Linked DNA regions of Danio rerio. The protein of the gene in region 1 purifies or fractionates together with the protein of each later gene. This does not show direct contact. Links are inferred from orthologs where the notes say so. Each region holds a gene or a part of one and is shown on either strand. Other genes may lie near its edges. The genes, in order: tnrc6c1, pan2, cnot10 and ago2.

The links.
Region 2: the proteins of tnrc6c1 (region 1) and pan2 purify together in Homo sapiens (affinity purification with western blotting; 3 studies listed by BioGRID and IntAct, with this or other methods). This does not show direct contact. The link is inferred for Danio rerio from reciprocal best matches to the Homo sapiens genes TNRC6C and PAN2.
Region 3: the proteins of tnrc6c1 (region 1) and cnot10 purify together in Homo sapiens (co-immunoprecipitation; 3 studies listed by BioGRID and IntAct, with this or other methods). This does not show direct contact. The link is inferred for Danio rerio from reciprocal best matches to the Homo sapiens genes TNRC6C and CNOT10.
Region 4: the proteins of tnrc6c1 (region 1) and ago2 purify together in Homo sapiens (co-immunoprecipitation; 6 studies listed by BioGRID and IntAct, with this or other methods). This does not show direct contact. The link is inferred for Danio rerio from reciprocal best matches to the Homo sapiens genes TNRC6C and AGO2.

What each region holds. Positions count from the first base shown.
Region 1 is NC_133178.1:33,188,609-33,193,764, forward strand, and holds the start of tnrc6c1 (trinucleotide repeat-containing gene 6C protein), read right to left. Parts: upstream 3,462-5,156; 5' UTR 2,858-3,461; intron 1-2,857. UniProt on the Homo sapiens protein: Plays a role in RNA-mediated gene silencing by micro-RNAs (miRNAs). Required for miRNA-dependent translational repression of complementary mRNAs by argonaute family proteins.
Region 2 is NC_133198.1:34,920,640-34,925,755, forward strand, and holds the start of pan2 (PAN2-PAN3 deadenylation complex catalytic subunit PAN2), read left to right. Parts: upstream 1-1,718; 5' UTR 1,719-1,811; intron 1,812-3,916; 5' UTR 3,917-3,926; coding exon 3,927-4,208; intron 4,209-5,116. UniProt on the Homo sapiens protein: Catalytic subunit of the poly(A)-nuclease (PAN) deadenylation complex, one of two cytoplasmic mRNA deadenylases involved in general and miRNA-mediated mRNA turnover.
Region 3 is NC_133191.1:8,047,376-8,051,954, reverse strand, and holds part of cnot10 (CCR4-NOT transcription complex subunit 10), read right to left. Parts: intron 4,425-4,579; coding exon 4,275-4,424; intron 2,993-4,274; coding exon 2,787-2,992; intron 1,976-2,786; coding exon 1,854-1,975; intron 1-1,853. UniProt on the Homo sapiens protein: Component of the CCR4-NOT complex which is one of the major cellular mRNA deadenylases and is linked to various cellular processes including bulk mRNA degradation, miRNA-mediated repression, translational repression during translational initiation and general transcription regulation.
Region 4 is NC_133194.1:44,210,226-44,214,804, reverse strand, and holds part of ago2 (protein argonaute-2), read right to left. Parts: intron 3,926-4,579; coding exon 3,778-3,925; intron 3,684-3,777; coding exon 3,564-3,683; intron 1,612-3,563; coding exon 1,280-1,611; intron 352-1,279; coding exon 167-351; intron 78-166; coding exon 1-77.

The DNA.
Region 1 (5,156 bases):
CAATCTGCAAATAAAACATGTCTTCTTAAAAGGTTAATGAATTCAGAGAACTGCTACACTGTGTCTCAGAATGACGAACTTGCCCTTGTAAGACCCATCTGAACGGCCCTCTAGTCTGCGGTTTTCAACCAATCCAACAAGAATGTAATGCCTATGCCAAAAACACATCCTGAAAGTTCAAAACATTAACCTCCTTAAATCAGACCTGCGAGAATGAAGAAGAAAACAGAACAGAAAACAGAATTCTGGAGACTACCTGTAGAAAAACAAAAGACTATCATTTCTGTAACTTAAGATTTCGAAGAAAGAAACATCTCTGAATTATTATTTTCCATAATTAAAAACTTTTCCAGTAAGCATCGGATAAAAAGATCCAGGCGCAATCTTCAGTACTGATTGGCATAAACAAAATGATTGAATTTGACTGTAGATATTAAACTTGACAAGACATAAAGGTTTTCAAAAACCTCTGTGCAAATAAAAAAAAAAATATCAATAATATACTATTGGCATTGATGGTTTTATAAACAATATTTATCAACGAAAGACTGGGGGAAAAAAACTTTTTACATTTTTTTTTAGATTTTTGATTAATTTTTTGGTTTTTCACACCACAAGCATAAAAAAAACAGTTTTCATTCAAATTTTGTTTAGGGAGCCTAAAAAAAGAAGAAGGCAGCGTTTCCATTCAATGAGTTAAAGAGAACAAAATCGACACTTCCTGATTAACTAAAATCGATAAATGTGTTTCCACACATTTTTTGCGCATGTTTTCTTTTCGAATATAAACTTTATCCTACTTAGTTATGTGCATATGTTTTTTAACCGCATTTTCAAAACTTTTGCGCATCCTTTCGTTTTCATCACTTTTTTATGTGCATATACAAAATGTGTAAATAGGTGGATGCAAACATAGCTAATGTAAAAAACACTTTTTGCCTGTACACTTAGCATAAAAGATAAACCACTGGTTAAACAAAAAAACTAATGAAAACAAAATAATTTCAAGATAATTTATAAAGAATGTAAAACCCGATAAGAGATTCATTCAGCAAAATATGTCAACAGTGAATGTTTCCTTTAGCGTAGACTGATACTGGAAGCTCAGACGGGATCCTCTATTGTGGCTTTAAATACAGATCCTGAAGTGAATCTTACATGTGCGAATGTACACTTGCAAATGTAAAATGTTTTTACCAGAAAACTGCACATGCACAAAAGGAAAAGAAAATAACAGTTGTTTGCAGGATACACAAAGAGATAAACAGGTGCAAGCTAATGCTGCCTTCAAAGCAATTTGATAAATTGTGGCACAGTTTTACTTGAACAATACTCAACACTTTACCAACTGTGGTTTGGACAGAAGACACATTTCATTCATATTACAGTGACTCTATTTTTAAGGTTTTGGCTTTTTACAAAAACTAGTCTATCCTGACACTGACCTAAGAGATGCAATTAGTGGTTTGATCTGTGGTTATTATGGTCTTGCTCAAAATGCCACAGTCACAATACAGGAACTTTTACACAGGAATCACACAGCAGACATGATCATTTCACTAGCAATAAATGACCAAACGTGAAGCCACACAGTGCAAATCCCTAGCCACATAATGCTGGTGAGGCTCCATAAGAACAAGCTGAGAGAGGCAATGTGACCTAAGCTTTATGGTAATCTGAGCATTAAGTGGCCTCTTTTTGTCTGACCCTTTTTCACTCTTGGAGAACACACAGCCCTTTTCAAAGGTCTGCCTCTGACAGGGGCCCCCTGACCCTGGGAGGGGAGCAGAAACTCTCCTTGCCAAATTAGCAACTGCACCACATGAACAGTCATGGGGACGTTTGACATTGGTGCTGTCCTCAGACGGAAAGCACGTTAGCGGGATCCTGCTTTGAGGTGAAAACGTACGTAGCTACATTTGGGAGCACAGTATTGGTGAATATATCAGGCGGTGGACATTCAGTATTAATAAAGACTCTAGAAAAAGAAAATAAGCACTGACAACCATTCTCTGACAGCTTAAATTGTTTGACTTCTGTTTATTGTGAATTTCGTAGCAATAACAACAGGATGACGTAGTAACGTTAACTGACGTTTCGATGGAAACTTAGACACAGTCTCGTAATAATTACTAAACGCTAGTTTTATTTTATTTGATAAGCCTGAATCTTGCCGTCAATATCAAAATGACAGAGCCTCGAGCGCACAGTGAAGGGAGACGCGTTGGTCAGACATGCAAGGGTTATTTCTAATCCAAAGACCCATAAATATCACAATCACAGCAGTTCTTTCTCTATAAATTCGTCGCCCGGGGTTTGTCGTTAACGTTAGCGCGACTCTCCACAACAACAACATAACCTCAAACACCAGCGAGATATGCCTCCAAAACAACATTTTGAGCACCAAAAAGATGTGACGGGACTCCCAGCAAACACTGGACACATGTATTTACACAACACACAATCAAACTCTAGCGTTAACTAAACGCAATACACAAATCACAAGTCATATAGACTAACATTATGGATCTTGAGCAGGAATTGAATCCGATAGAAAAGATGCTTATCCCGCATATCTGTTTAGAAAATGGGCCAATGTTGATTTACGGGGGAGTAAACATTTGCACACGTAAGCTATTTCCAGCCACCAAAACAAAAAGACCGCACGTTGTTAAAGATCCTGCGCGTATGTCTGCTTTTGGTGGTGTCTCTAATTCTGGATAGAATGTCACTGGCTGTCAAAATACTATAAAGGCTCGAAAGTGAATCCTAAAATGACGCATTGCCACTGTAAACAGAAACAAGCACACCCCGCCCACGTAAACATTAAAACATTTATCAAAAAGCCTTATCTTACCTTTATTTCGCACACGGAGCAACTGCAGTTTGCGGTTCAGATGGGGTGCATAAGCTGCATGGTGAAGGAGGATGTTGTCGATACCCGTACTGACACAGATCAGATATATTCAGTCGCAGTCAGACTCTCTCGCTCTTGCAGTGAACTGCAATGGCGAGCCTGACTTTCCAGTTGAGGAATTCACCTCTTATTATGCAGTGGAATTTATCCAGAGGGGGGAAAGAAACAATCTCTAAAAACAAATACCAGTGCAAACAGTGAAAAGGACATTAAACGACAATTCTGCACGTCAGCGAGCAAGCTTAAGGTTGATCAAGTGTAACATTTCGGCGATTTTAAGAAGCAGCTTCACGCGCGCACCCTCACAGACGCGCGCGCACTGGCAGTTTGAGCTTTAGTATGCTTTTGGATGTATATAAAGTGCGTAAAGGGAAATCTTTCAGCATGCCTTTCAGCTCGATAACACGTATGCAAACGAGTCCACACGAATTAATGTCCCAATGCTCGGAAATTCCAATGCATCCATTTGAAACGATTCTGCACTGACGTGAAGCGTTCACTGGGATTTCGTTTGTGGCGCTCCAGCAGCCATTTTGTTGAAACTGACAACAGCGGCTCAAGTCTCGGCAGAGTAAAACAGGAAGTGCCCCCATTCCCCAGCGACAAGTCACGTGACGTCAACTCACAAACAATCCAACCCCTCCGTTAAAATATATCGCTCCACCTTCACTGTTGCTATGAGAACGAGGGTCAGGAACCACCTCCATCCACCAACAACACTGGCTGACGTGCAGCAGCAGCGGCAGCAGCTATCTCTGGTGTGTCTCTCGTCCTATTAATCAATAACAAGGCTTTCTCAGCAGTGCTTTAAAATGTAGTTATATCAAAGCGGTTCTAAAGAAACCTTACATCCATTTTTAGTCGTGGAGTTTAACGTCCCGCATCAAATCTGATTTTGGTGAAGTCGTCGTTTCTCCACCAGACGGCGCTATTTCAGCTAGCCAATAGACATGGCTTATACTCATGTTAATTATAGTTAACTTATTAACTGGATAGCTTACTATTAAGGGCCTTTCTATCGTGTATAGATGTTTTTATAACAATTATATTAGGAAAATCCTAACTGCAAATAAAAGTGTTCTTCCAATAGCAATGGTTAAATGGAAACATTCCCTTCACCCTTCATTTGTTCTTAATAAGTTTCATTCCTTCATTCATTCATTCATTCATTCATTCATTCATTCATTCATTCATTCATTCATTCATTCATTTTCTTTTCAACTGAGTCCCTTTATTAATCTGGGGTCGCCAAAGCGGAATAAACCGCCAACTTATCCAGCACAAGTTTTACACAGCGGATGTCCATCCAGCTCCAACCCTTCACTGAAAAACACCCACACACTTTCATTCACACTCATAAACTATGGTCAATTTAGCCTATCCAATTCACCTATAGCGCATGTCTTTGGACCTGTGGGGGAAACCGAAGCACCCGGAGGAAATCCAATCAATCACAGGGAGAACATGCAAACTCCACTCAGAAATGCCAACTGACCCAGCCAAGGCTCAAACCAGCAACTTTCCAGCTGTGAGGCAATCATGCTACCCACTGCGCCACTGTCACCCTCCCTTTAGTTTATGTCATAATAATAATAAACACTCTGGTTTATTGTGTAAACAGTCTTTTCTAATGTGCTTTCCCTAAAGCACTCAATTAATCTGAAATCTCATAATATAGCTCATTCATTCATTTTTTTCACCTTAGTCCCTTTATTATTCAGGGGTCGTCACAGTGGAACGAACCACCAGCTTGTCCATCATATCTTTAACACAGCGGATGCCCTTCCAGCCACAACCCAACAGTGGAAAACACCATATAGCTCATAACCTGGTTGCAAAATATGTGCCTCATAATTTAAGACACATCACTCAACGGTAACATGCACATCATTTGTATATGGGACATTCTACTAGAAACGTACATTATCTGTCATAAATACAGTGAATAAAGTGTATTTCATTCCAAAAATGTCTAAAATGGACTAATGGTTGATTTCTGTGAGTTGTTTTGTAAAGGAATATGTCATTTATCTGGTTCTCAGATTTTTGTTCTTTATTAAAAGCACTTTACAGACACAAACTGTCATTGTCCATGTCCTCAGCCCAGTTGAACCGACAGCTTTTATAGTTTTGTTAAGCTAAAAACTGTTATTTGGAAACAAAAAATGCTTCAGAAATAGCAAGTTTAAGGTGTTATCATTCACATCAATTGGTTAGAAACATATTATTTTAATTAGAT
Region 2 (5,116 bases), on another chromosome or scaffold:
TTAAGACAAAAACTCATGTGATTGCTGATTGATATTCTAACAATTACTTTTAGTCCACAGCTTCCTATTTACTTTGAAACACAAAAGGATGAGCTGAACCTGTCCATTGTATAAACAGATACACAAACTTTTGATCCACAAAAAAGGCATAGCAAAAGTGATACAGGAAGTTAGATGATGTAATGATGTGTCATGTATAAAACAGAATCAATGCTGAACTACTGCACGGCAACGTGATGGGTATTGTTGTATGAATTTTGACAGGATTACCAATCATTTATGACTTATGAAAATAAAGCATGGATCTGGAGAGTACCAAAAACACAAATGTAATAGCTGACTTGTAAAACAAGGTATTTTTTGGAGCGCACCTCTACTTTGCTTTAATTAGAGTCATCAGTACATCATCAGTACACAATTACAGGAATTTTCTCAGCACAGCACAATCGACATTCACGAGAATTTGGGGAGGTAAACCTCTTGTAGATTCTCTCATTCAGAAATTCATTGAAAACAATTCTTTCATTAAGGGCAATAGAAATTATAGAACTTCCACAGCTATATAAACCAAACCACTTTTCTTAGAATCCTGAATGAGAGAGTTTCCCCAATTCGAGGACTTATCAATGAGGAAGTGAGAGCAAAGCATGCAGATCACACACAGAATTTCTCCCATGAATATGAACCATTTGTGACTGATAAGCTGCTGACTTTATACCGTGGATTTTTTTTTTATCTTGTTTCTTTTGAAGCTACTACAGGCCCATAGCCAGGGGGGTTTGGGTGATTCTAAAGACCCACCCCTCACTGACAAACATCTATAGTTTTTCCCCATACATGAGCTCATTTGTCCTATTTTAATTGCTATGCCATCATAAATAGTGAAAATAACCAATTGAAAAAGGTTTTATGACCAAGTGAAATCCTCTGTTGGCTGTCGCTTCAGTGTGACTTCAGTTAATCAGTTTTGTCCAATGCACACAATTATTTTTCACGAGTTCAACATCCAGCTGTGCAGTAAAACATACAATCTGACGTAAGTGAAGTCATCTTTTGCTACTGTATTGTTTTTAAATAGAGAAAATATTCTACAAGTAACTTTTATTCTAAATCTTGGACCTTATTCTTGAAACAAAAAATTACCAATGAATAGGTTTGACGCAATAAAAGTGACCAATATTAAAATGAATTTCAATAATAATTTGGCTATTGATGTTATCCATGAATTTTCAAATGTACTTTTTTGGTAATATGACCACCCAACAAGCTATTTCAGCTGAAATCGAGCCTAAATGAGGCCTGTAACTGCAAAAAGGTCCACTTTTTGAGAAAAAAGAACCATCCCTTTCACCAGGCCGGCCACAGCCCTGAACTACACTACTCATAGACTGTAAAAAAAAGTAGTAATTCATTAATAAATACCTATAGCATTGGAATTTTTCCATATCAGCCATTTTTTTTATTGATTTATATTTTGTTTGTGTAATTAGACGATAAACTAAAGTAAATTGTATTAAGAAATGCCCTCATGTCTTTGGGTCACACCATTAAGTTACAACATTAGGTTATACTGATTTTTTGTGAAAAAATAAGACGTTTCTAAAGAATTAAATATAGATTATTTACTAAATTAAATGTTTCAAAGACTAAATGACTGACAGATGTTTAAATATTTCATCTGTGACACAGTTAAAGCGCCGGTTGAGGATACCGGAAGCAGATTAGGCTTACCCGGAAGTGCGCGGTTGTTTTTGTTTTGAATGAAGCGAGTAGCATGAGCATATGGATACGAGGATAACTATAGTCTAAAGGTATGATTTATCTTGTACAAATATTAAAAGAAGGACTTGTAATACTCTTTCTGAAATGCTGTCGAAAGCTAAATGAAACCGTACACAAGTGCCAGTCGTCATATGCACAGGAAAATGTCATGCACGCCAGTTCATAGAATAATGTCATGCAGGCCAATTTATATTGTACCATAATTATCTTGTAGTGCACATAGACACTATTACAAACATTGATTATGTAACTTCCAGCTTGTTTACGTGGATTAGTTAACAAGCAGGGAAGTTTGATTGTGTTTCAAAAAGTGAGCTGTCTAACGTTACCTAAATCAGTGTTGTTGTCGTCTAGTCTCTTGTTAGGCTAAACTAAAGATATAAAGATATATGCTTGGCAGCTCAGTGGGTTTAAGAAGCTGCTATGAAGTCTCTATGACAGCTTGAAAATTCTCACGCAAATTGAGAAACCATTTGTCAGTTCTTTCAGTTTCTCTGGATTTATAAGTTATGATTTTGAGTAAAATCTTTATAGTTATTTCATTATTTGGAGGTCAGATAACATTTCCTTCAATTGTTATCATTTAGAACAGTTCAATAAAGAAACTGTCCATTTCACCCCCACAATATGTTTATTTATTTGTTGTGTTAAACACATATGTTTGAGTAAACTATTGATGGCACTTCTTCCAGTCAGGTAAGATTATGTTCATATATATATATATATATATATATATATATATATATATATATATATATATATATATATATATATATATATATATATATAATTTGTGTGTGTATGTATGTATGTATGTGTGTGTGTGTGTGTGTGTGTGTGTGTGTGTGTGTGTATATATATATATATATATATATATATATATATATATATATATATATATATATATATATATATATAAACTCATAAATCCATAGAAACTGAACCTTTTTGTGCATGTAATGATAATAAAAATAATTCCTTTTATATAGCGCTTTTCTGGACACTCAAAGCCAAAGCCACACATTTTTTGGGGGGGGATCTCCTCATCCACCACCAGTGTGCAGCATCCACCTGGATAACACAACCAGCTGAGTGGTGGAGAGGAAACAGAGGGATGAAGCTAATTACAATATGGGGATGGTTAGGAGGCCAGTGGTCAAATTTGGTCAGGATTAAACCCCTACTCCAGGGGTGGCCAACCCTGTTCCTGGAGAGCCAGCTTCCTGCAGATTTCAGTTGCAACCCTTATCAAACACACCTGCCAGTAATTATTACGTGGTGTTCAGGTAGTAACTAATTGGTTCTGGTGTTTTTGATATGGGTAGCAACCGAAATCTGCAGGAAAGTGGCTGTCCAGGAACACAGGAACATGGTTGGCCACCCCTGCCCTACTCTTTTTCAAAGGACATCCTGGGATTTTTTAATGACCACAGAGAATCAGGTTTAACATTTCACTGCGGCACTCACTGAGCAGTATAGAGTACCTAGCAATATACTGCGCATTAGGACCCACACAGGCCGCAGGGTTGAGCTCCCCCTGCTGTTTTCACTAACACCACTTTCAGCAGTAACCTATCTTTCCCATGTGGTCTCCCATCCAGGTACTGACCCAGCGCAGCCTTGCTTAGCTTCAGTGGACGACCATGTGAGAGCTGCAGTGAGCTAGTTGCCGGCAGATGTAGTTTTAATTAACTGCTGTGATGTTTCATGCTAATAACATTTCTAGAAACATTCAGTTTTCAATAATTACTTTACTGATAAAACAAACAGCAGAAGTATTAGTAAAATGTATATTAATAAAAAATTATCTTGTAAATTAATTATAAAACAAGCAAGAACAATATAATTATGTAAAGATATATGTGTATATTATGTATCTTAATCCAAAAGTATAGAAGAATAAAAAAATACTAAGCTTATGTCCATATTTTAAGAAGGAACTGGAAACAGAGCAGTGAAACGGGCCATGAAACCAATCATTTATGAGGAAAAATAAGGACAGTAAAATGATCAGTAAATAAATACTTTTGGTTGATGTGTTGGGAATACTCATGTGAAAGCATACAAACAGGAAAATATATATATAAGGGACCTAAATTACTTAATTTCACAATTTTTTTTTGTACCCCATCAGCACCGTCCTCATGATGAACTTCGAGGGTCTGGACCCGGGTTTGGGCGATTATGCGCCTGGCCTGCATGGTGGCCTGGAGCCCGGTCTGGACTCTTCCCTGGACCCGCGGCTCGACCCGGCGCTACTGCAGGGTGTGGAGATCGACCCCGATGGGCTGGCTGTGTCAGAGTCTGTGCACATAGTGGAAGGCATGTACTCGGAGTTGCACAGCGTGGCAGCTGAAGTCGGGATCCCTGTGACAGCCACACACTTCGATCTGCAGGAGGAGTTGCTCTGGATGGGGAACCACCGGGTGAAGAGACACATTCATTACTGTTTTTACACTGCTGCATGATTGTTTAGAATGCTACGATTATTTTGGGGTGTTTGGAAGTGTGTTATGCTCATCAAAGCAATTATTTGATCAAAAATACATTATGTAACGTAAAATCTATTTTATAATTTAAGTGTACTGTTTCTTTTTTCAAACTTTAAAAAAATATTTATTTATTTTTGTGATGGCAAAGCAGAATTTTAGGCCTTCAGATGATGCTGAAGTAATTATCATTTTTTTATGAATTAATCATTATAAGTGCTCAGTTTTAAAGAGATGGTTTACACAAAAAGGTAAATTTGTTGGTAATTTGAAGTGAAGTGAGCTTTTACTAGCTCTCAGATTTTGAAATGTTTTAAAATAAGCCTCTCCTGCTCACCAAGGCTGCATTTATTTAATTAAAAATACAGTACAAATTGTGAAATGTTATTGCACTATAAAATAACTGTTTAAAAGTAGTTTATCAATTAATTTAATAATTTATTCCAGTGATTTTAAAGAGGAATTTTCAGCTTCATTACTCCATTCTTCAGTCACATGATCCTTACAAAGTCACTCTAATATTAATTATTATTATTATCATTATTAATATTACTATTATTATTACATTAATAATAATTGAATGATAATACTAATATATATATATATATATATATATATATAATTTTTTTTATCATTTGCTTTATTGGGTTCATCTTAGGTCAGACAAAAAATAACACTTTAAATAGAATAAGAAATAATATTCATACATATATGCATAAAATGCCATAAAAATCAGGCACTGATACATTTCACCAAACATGTAATTATCAGGAAAACATAATTATACACTAAATAAGTATAGAAATAATAAGGTTAAATATCACATATATACATAAACACATACA
Region 3 (4,579 bases), on another chromosome or scaffold:
TCAGAATTGTTTCTACTGATCTTTGATAAAGTAAGAAGCTTTAAAAGAGTAAAGTTTACCTAAAATTAAAGTCTCACCCTCAAATAATTCAAAACCACTACAAGTTGTGCTTTTCTTCTCAAAACAAATTAAGATATTTTGAAGAATGTTGGACAGTCACATTATGGCAAAAAAATACTATGGAAGTCAATGGATACTGGTTACTTACATTCTTTGAAAATTTACATTTTCTTCAAAATCATTAAAAGTTTTGTTTTTTCTCAATAAGAAATAAGATATTTTGAAGAATGTTGGATAGCCACACAGTAAGGCAAAAAAATACCATGGAAGTTAATGGATACTGGTTTCTTACATTATTTAAAAATATATATTTTCTTCAAAGTCATTAGTTGTATTTTTCTTCTCAATACGAAATAAGATATTTTGAGGAATGTTTGGACAGCCAAGTAAAATAAAAATAAAAATATGAGAGTCAATGAATACTGGTTTCTAACATTCTTAAAAAATAAATTCTTGTGTACAACAAAGAAAGAAAGAAAGTCATGAGGGTTTGAAAAGCGAGTAAATGAGGACAGAATAAGTAATTAAATACATAAAAACCACTAACCATCGACTTTCATAGTATTTGTGCTTTTCCTTCAATGGAAGTCAATGGATACTAGTTTCTTACATTCTTGAAAAAAATTTAAAAAAAAAAAAAAAAAAAATATATATATATATATATATATATATATATATATATATATATATATATATATATATATATATATATATATATATAAATTATTTTCTTCAAATCCATTAGACATTTTATTTTCTTCTCAATACAAAATAAGATAATTAGAAGAATGTTGGATAGGCACATTATGGCAAAAAATATACTATGGAAGTCAATGGATACTGGTTACTTGCGGTCTTTAAAAATATATATTTTCTTCAAATTCATTACAAGTTTTGTTTTTTCTCAATACAAAATAATATATTTGAAGAATGTTGGAGAGCCACATTATGGCAAAAAAAGTCAACGAATACTGGTTACTTACATTCTTAAACACATATATTTTCTTGCATTCAACAGAGAATGAAAGTCATGCGGCTTTGAATCGCGAGTAAATGAGGACAGAATAAGTAATTAAGCAAATAAAAACCTGTAACCATCGACTTTCATAGTGTGTTTTTTTCTCCTTCAATGGAAGTCAATGAATACTGGTTTCTTAAATTCATTAAAATATATACATTTTCTTCAAAATCATTAGTTTAATAATTTAATAATTAATAATTCTGATTTCAATGGTATATTATAGTAATATTATAGTAATAATATATTACAGTAATTATAATATATGAATAAATAATAGCTTTCATTTGATGAAAAAGCAAATATGTATTAATATTGTGCTTAAATAGGAAACTATTTGGTACAATAAATTATTATGAAACTTACACAATTGCAATTTCAAGTTGTTTCAAGTACTTTATCCAAAAATTAAAGTATCAAAGTACTTTTCAAACCTTTACAACACTAGATTAAAATTCAAGCATATTCAATGTATGCCTTGTTCAAAGAGTACCCATACAAACCCATTACATAAAAGTTTTGGAACAATAAAGGCTGAGTAAAAGGCCAACTATCCCTTTAATGTCTTTGAATGTTATTTGTTCTGAGAGAGAAAAGAATAAGTGCAAAAGGATGACATCTTCTGGTGAAACCCTGTCACTACAGTGCATCATACAGTGCATGAATTGGAAATCGCATCCCTCCAATCAGGCAGACACAATCTCAAGCAGCTACATTTTGTAACTCCATTAATAATTAGCAAAATCATGGTTCATTAGTCCAAAATTATTAATACCTGTAGATGGTGTTTTGTGTGGACTGTGATGCTAGAACAATCTTGCGATGGTAGCCCTGCCCAACAACCGCCTGCACGATGCCCTTTTTACTGGGTAAACCTTTTGTTTCCTGCTCCGAACTCTAAGAGGAAACAAATGAAGGAAAGGTTATTAAAATAAATATGAATGTCAAATATATTTCAAAATCATCAATATACTACAAAAAGGTGTTTCCAACTTTAACAAATCTGGTCATACCAAAATAATTTTAAAAACATGCAAATGGTTTTAAGCATTTGACGTGAACAGACTTTAAATACGACAAAAGAAGTATGTTTCAATTTCTATTTCATTCAATTTCTTTTCTGCTTAATCCCTTTATTAATCAGGGCTTGCCACAGCGAAATGAACCACCAATTTCTATTTGATATGTTTATATTTCTGTTTCAAAGTTCAAAGTTTTATTTTAAGTTCAAAATAACAATATTTAAATAATAAAAATTAGTAAACACTAAAAAAAGTTGTTATTTTATAGATTTAAAAAAAAAATAGTTCAGCTAAAAATTATTATTTACTCACTATTTACTCACCCTAAAGAGTTTACAAACTTTTATAAGTTTGAAACAAAAGATATTCTGAAGAAAGCAGAAAACCTGTAACCATTGACTTCCATAGAATGAAAAAAAGTACTATGAAAGTCAATCGTTACAGGTTTTTATTCATTCTTTAAAGGATCTTCATTTGTGTTTAACAGAAGAAAGAAACTGAAACAAGTAAAGAGTGAGTAAATAATGATTGAATTTTAATTTTTAAGTGAAATATCCCTTTAATGACACTTTTCTAGGTATAACTATTACCCCCAAACTTTTGAATGGAAGTGTACTATTTAGAGGTTGGGGGAGTCTTTCATGTAAAAACAAAAACAAAAAACAGATGTGGGTTAATGTCTGTACCCCTTTATTAGCTGTGATGCAGCACTCTGCCAGTCTTAGCCAGAGTCGAGGGTTGGAGTGATACACCTGTACAGCCTCCATCAGACACTCAAACGCTGCCAGCGGTCGGCCAATATGGAGTAGCTGAATCCCGCAGTTATACAGCAGCTCATAGCGCTTATTCGCTAACAGAGCACACATGGGGATACCACTGAACTTCTTAGATGCTATGGGGGAGGAAAAAACAATGTTAAATACGAGGCTGGGAGAATATGCAATATTTCTTACAATACTAACTTGAAAAAAAAATTATTTATGGTATGATCATACTAAAATAAGCAGGTAATTAATATTTTTTTCTGAGCTAATTGAATAATACAAGGTATTTATTTTATTTAATGCCATGTCAGCAACCCAGGCCATTTTCATGGCAAGAACATTTCAATAATAAATGTACAATTAAAAACAACAAAAAATGCATTCTTTTTAAAGTTTTTGTAGAATTTCTTTGTAAAACTATTTGATTTATTTATTATTTTTATTTTATTTATTATAATTTTTTTATTCATCTTTTGAAGTCTACCAGGGGGATGGGCGGTAGTGGGTTTTAAACAAACAAAAAACAAACGAGCACATAAATTAAATAAGATTTTAATATAGGATAAAAATTCTAAAGTGTGTCACTTTGTTAAAAATGGTAAAAGTACCGTAATTAATACATAGACTAAGAAAAATCTGAAAATATAGCGTAAGACCAATTTATTTGAATAAATTACCAAACCAAAACATTTTTGAATGCTATTTCATCTTTATTTTTTTAAGTATGCCATAAAATATTTCATATTTTCATTTAACATGTTGCTGTTTTGTTATTTTTTTTACAATAAAAGCAAAATCAAGTTTAGTAGTGCAATGGGATTATGTTTGTTTATTATTTTTGTGAATCAACAACGCTGTGTAGTGTAAACTACTATTTAAAATGGTCATTTTTAAATGACTTTAACAGTCATTATTGAAAACAGTCAAAACATGGTCAACCATTTGGTGGAGCAGGCAATTAAAGGCTTAAAATGTTTTATTTTTTATTTATTTTTTTAAGTAAAACTGCTTTTATTCTAGTCGAAATAAAACAAATAAGACTTTCTCCAGAAGAAAAAAATATTATAGGAAATACTGTGAAAATTTCCTTGCTGTTAATCATCATTTTGGAAATTAATAAAAAAATAAATAAATAAATAAATAAATGTAAAATTTTTTTTACTTTAACAGTCAAGGTTTAAAACTTAAAGACTTTAAAAATGACTGAAAACTTTAGCGGAAATAAACAACCCATGTATACAGCACACAAATGCTTGGCACAAAAATATATTTAATTGTAAGTGATGTATTACATATACTATTATCACAGTATTGATATTTTTTCAATATATCCTACGCCTGTAATGTTAACTAACAAACTTGCAAGATATCCATAAATCACAATTTGTCCTCAAGTCCTGATCATCTTACCCTGCGCATTACTGCCGTCGCCAATCTGGGCGCATGTGTGGTCATTTTCTTGAAGTGCTTTTTTAAAGTAAAACAGACCAAGGTTGTGCTTCCCCATGGCAAAATGGATACAGCCCAGGTTATTCCAAAACATACACCTCACACATTCACCTTTGGAAAGTGGAGAAAAAAAAGCACAAGCACAAACATCAGAGAGAGAGAGAAGTTTTAACTGGAATTTTTTTTTTAATAAGCAAGCTATGTTACTAAGAATTTATGCAAATTGTATTTATTGTAAATTGTATTTATTAAGATGTATGCTAGAT
Region 4 (4,579 bases), on another chromosome or scaffold:
GGTCTTCTGCACATTCTTCACCTGGACACACTGCGTGGCCATGCCGAGAACAGTGTCTCCAACACGCTTCACCTCAGCTGTAAGAATTTTAGCATTTAGAGTGTGTAAAAAATACACTAAAGATATGAGATGAAAAAAAAAATAATAATAATAATAATTAAATTACCATAAACAGGAGTCTTGCCGGGTAAGATGACCACCACCAACTGTAACCCTTGATAAGTGTACTTGAGGTGTTTGAACATGGGCTCCACACTGTCTGCTCCCTGGGCATATTTGCAAAAGCACGGCTGGCCCTGAATGGGCATCCCAGCATCACGTGAGATCTTACGAAGCTGGTCAGTGAAGGCCCTGAGGATACAAACATAGTATAAAAATCTGGGTCAGTATTTACTTTTGTAAAATAATTTCCTTAAATGCTAATATTTCTCTATGACAAAACAGGCAGATTAAGGTACAAATAAAAACAGGCAAAGTAGTGGCGCAGTAGGTAGCACTGTCGCCTCACAGCAAGAAGGTCGCTGGGTCACTGATTTGAGCCTGGAGTTTGCATGTTCTCCCTGGGTTCGCATGGGTTTCCTTCGGGTGCTCTGGTTTCCCCCACAGTCCAAAGACATGCAGTACAGGTGAATTGAGTAAGCTAAATTGTCCGTAGTGTATGAATGGGTGTGTGGGGATGTTTCCCAGAGATGGATTGCAGCTGGAAGGTCATCCGCTGCGTAAAAACGTGCTGGAAAGTTGGCGGTGCATTCCGCTGTGGCGACCCCAGATTGATAAAGGGACTAATACGATAAGAAAATGAATGAATGCATGAATGAAATCAAAACTAACCATATGATTTTTTAGCTGATATTGCTAGTTGTGGTGAACAATTTATCTGTGCATTTTATTAATAATAATAATAATAATAATAATAATAATTAATAATTGAAATCTGAAAATGCACTTCCTGGTTTTTTGGTTAACTTCTCAGATTACGTTTGTCTAAGGTATTGGGCGTGGCCAACATACTCAACTCTCCTTCAGCTGTCAATTTTGACAGCCAACAGAACTGATGAGGTGATGACTGTTAGATTATAATAACTCTCCCGAAGCCCTTTCCTGATCTTTCTGAATGAAATGCCTACTTTGCTACATCCAATCAGCTTGCAGCAGAAAAAACAAGTCACGGCAACTGATTTCTTATTTAATATTCTGTTTCTATAGCGACTGCATCACAATATGAAAAAAAAAAAGCGAACGCAGCTTCTGGTTCATGTGTACTTTAAAGTTGACTTACTTCAGCAGGAGTTCTGTGCACTGCCTCTGTGGGGCAAAGCAGGCAATGGCCCAAACTTTGATTTCAATCCCTGTGTGGAACTGCTTGTTCCTCATGTCCCACACGCCCTGGACTGGGGTTGCTATTGCTTTGTTCTGAAACAGCCAAAGACATGACCAAATTAGACAGGGATTCAACCAAATGCTGAGTTGAGCAGAGGAGATTCTTACCCTTCCACCATAGAGAATCGACGGTGCTTGAAGAACCCGACCATTGACTTCAGTCATATCGTCTCTTACCATGACTCCAAACTCACGCACATAAGGATCTGTATTGAAGTTGGCACTTCTCATCTGTTGCAAACAAATGAAGGTAAGGGTGAAATTTAATGCTCTGGTTCACACCTGTTACTAATGTCCATTTTCAGTGTTGCAATGGGCTATATGCACAGCTAGTGTTGTTCAGCCAATGATGAACTTCCGATGAAAGCAGGCTAGCACAGAAACTCCATTGAAAATACAATACTATTCAGTTGTAAATATTATTCAGTACTTTTTCCAAAAAATTTTATTAATGTATTGGTCAATAAAACATTAATTTCAAAATTATTTGACAAACAGCGACAAATAATTTTTGCTCCAACAGAGCCCCCCGCCCCACTGCACCATTTCTAAACAATGTTATGCCTATTTTAATCTGTTTTACATCATGTCATGATATATACATACATATAATACAAGTTATTAAAAGTTCCATTTTATGTTCACTCATCTATTGTACATATATACACACACAACGAGTCACAATAGGCTTGGCAAATGTAAAATAAAGAAATAAAATAATTTAGACAGAAATTAAAATATATTAAAATAAAATGAAGGGAGGGGAAAAAATGTGAAAAAAATAAACAACTGTTAAACTGAAAATTTTAACATACATTTGTTTTATATATGTCATAATTTCCATATTTTAAAGACAGGGCGCAGAGAAATATAATTTAACGCAGTGCATCTTGTTTGGTCCGATACCCACTTCATATTGTATCTCAGCCAGACAAGGAAGATTGCTTCTGATTTCTTAAAAAAAAAAAAAAAAAAAAAAAAAAAAGATCTTAAACGTGGCGATTTTATATGGGATGACAATTAAGAAGGAAATCCTGAGGCTGGGGCTTTACTGAAATTAAAAGTCTGTGTGCATATACCCCATATGAAATGGTCCAGCTTTATTTAACATCAGTTTAAAGTCTCTCTTGTGTTTGAATTTCTTTAAGACTCTTCCAACATTACTTTTGTGGAAGAACTACAAGTTCCACAAGTTTTACGTGAACACATATTACGCAGTGAGGGGCAAAGCTAGCAAAGAAATGATGTGGATGACAACTACAATTTCAATTGTATACTGTGTGTTATGATATAACACTTACATATGAATAAAGTGGTCCCTTACTATAAGGGGTTCACCTTTCGTAGCCTTGCAGATTTTGTGGAATTTGACATGCTTTTTTTTTTACAGCGCATTGTGTTCTGCGTCTTGATTAGTGCATTGTTCTGTGTCCTGATTGGCTGTAGACTACAGTCAATAAATCTCTGTTTGCAAGTTTTCTCCCCAACAAACCCCACAATGTCGACAAAACGTTCTGCACTAACAAAGGTGCCCTCGGTAGCACCCAAAAATAAGAGGAAGATGCTGACCATAAAACAAAAAGTTCTTCTGGACATGATTAAAGGAAGATAGACGTTACAAGGCTGTGGGGCGCCATTACAGAATAAAATTATCTTCTCAAACAAATGTTTGGGCCTGAAAAACTAGGTCTTTAGTTACATTCTATAATACTGGACTTATATTTTGAACTTTCAATGTGTTTAAATAAGAGAGAAAAGTGTAGAAAGTGTGTAATGAGGGGTTTTTACAGCTTTAAGATAAAGAAAACAATGTAAAAAAAAAAGTATAATAAATGTGAAAGTATTTCATCTATTGCAGGTTTTTTTTTTAGAATGTGACTGCTGCAAAAAACAAGAGACCACTGTATCTTGTTTTTGTGTGCTTTCACAACCCAACCCACAACAACCATGTGCTTAGTCAGTAGGCAGAGAGAAGGTGGTCTGTTGTGGCCGTGTGATTGCATTCAACCACAAATGTTTACACTACAAAAGCAATCCAATCCAACTATCTCTAGAGGTGGTTGAAAAACATTGTAGACTTAATTTACATCTGTATTCATTGTTGTTCATTTGAGATTGGATTGATGAAATACCAGGTGTATACGAGGCTTGGGAAACTGCAAAAGAATGGATAAAGAGCATACCAGTTTGCTGATCTCGTCCTGACGGTCGGGCGCAGACCTGGCTGTGGCACGTATCATAGTGGAGGTCTGATTGTCTGTCAGTTTCTTGATGCATCGCTGCCCGGCTACAATGTTGCAGACCTGAAATTTTTTAAATAATAATAACAACAAATTTTAGAAAAGGAAATGAGAGAAAAAGGGGGAAAAGCAAGTCCAGGATGTGGTTTCAACCAACCTCCAACGGAAGGTAGGTGTGTTTCTGCTCCTGACCAACTTGTAAACATGGGAGATGTGGGTATCGAAGCACCAGTTTGTACTTATCCTTGAAGTACTGGGCGACAGTGCATTCAATGGTCTGACCATTCTCTTGCTGCAAAGGAAACCTAGAGACAAACAAAATACATTTTAAAGACATCAGCTTCAAAATAATGAATCTTTCAATGAGAAATATTAAATGTGATGACAAAAAATAGAATACACTATACAAAACGCATGGTTCCACACAATTCAACCATGTGGTCTCAACACAAATCCGTCAAGTTTAATGCATTAAATTTGTCCTGCTTTTTTTAGTGTTTTTTCAGCTTATATTAAATAAGCAGTTTGAACAAGAAGCAAAAATATTTTTTGGGTGTACAGAGGTCCCTCTTTATTTGCGGGAGTTGCATTCTAAAAATAACTCTCAACAGGCGAAATCCTTGTAGTCAGCTTTATTATTTTTTGTACAATTATTATAGATGCTTTAAGGCTGTAAAATCCCTTACTACACATTTTTCTCAGACAGGAATTAGCATTTTCACTCTTTTCTCTTGTTTAAACACTCTCAAAGTAAAAAAAAAAAAAAAAAAGTCCAGAAAAATAAGTTCAGTGTTATAGAATAAAACCAAAGATCAAAACCTGCTGTCAGACGCAAACATTCATCACTGTTAGCAAAACGTTTATAAAGCTTTTTAGCTTTTGTGCGGATAATGTTGGCATCCAGTGTAATGTTCTTTTTCGTGCAGTCACTGATTCAAAAAACTTAAGCAGACTCCATT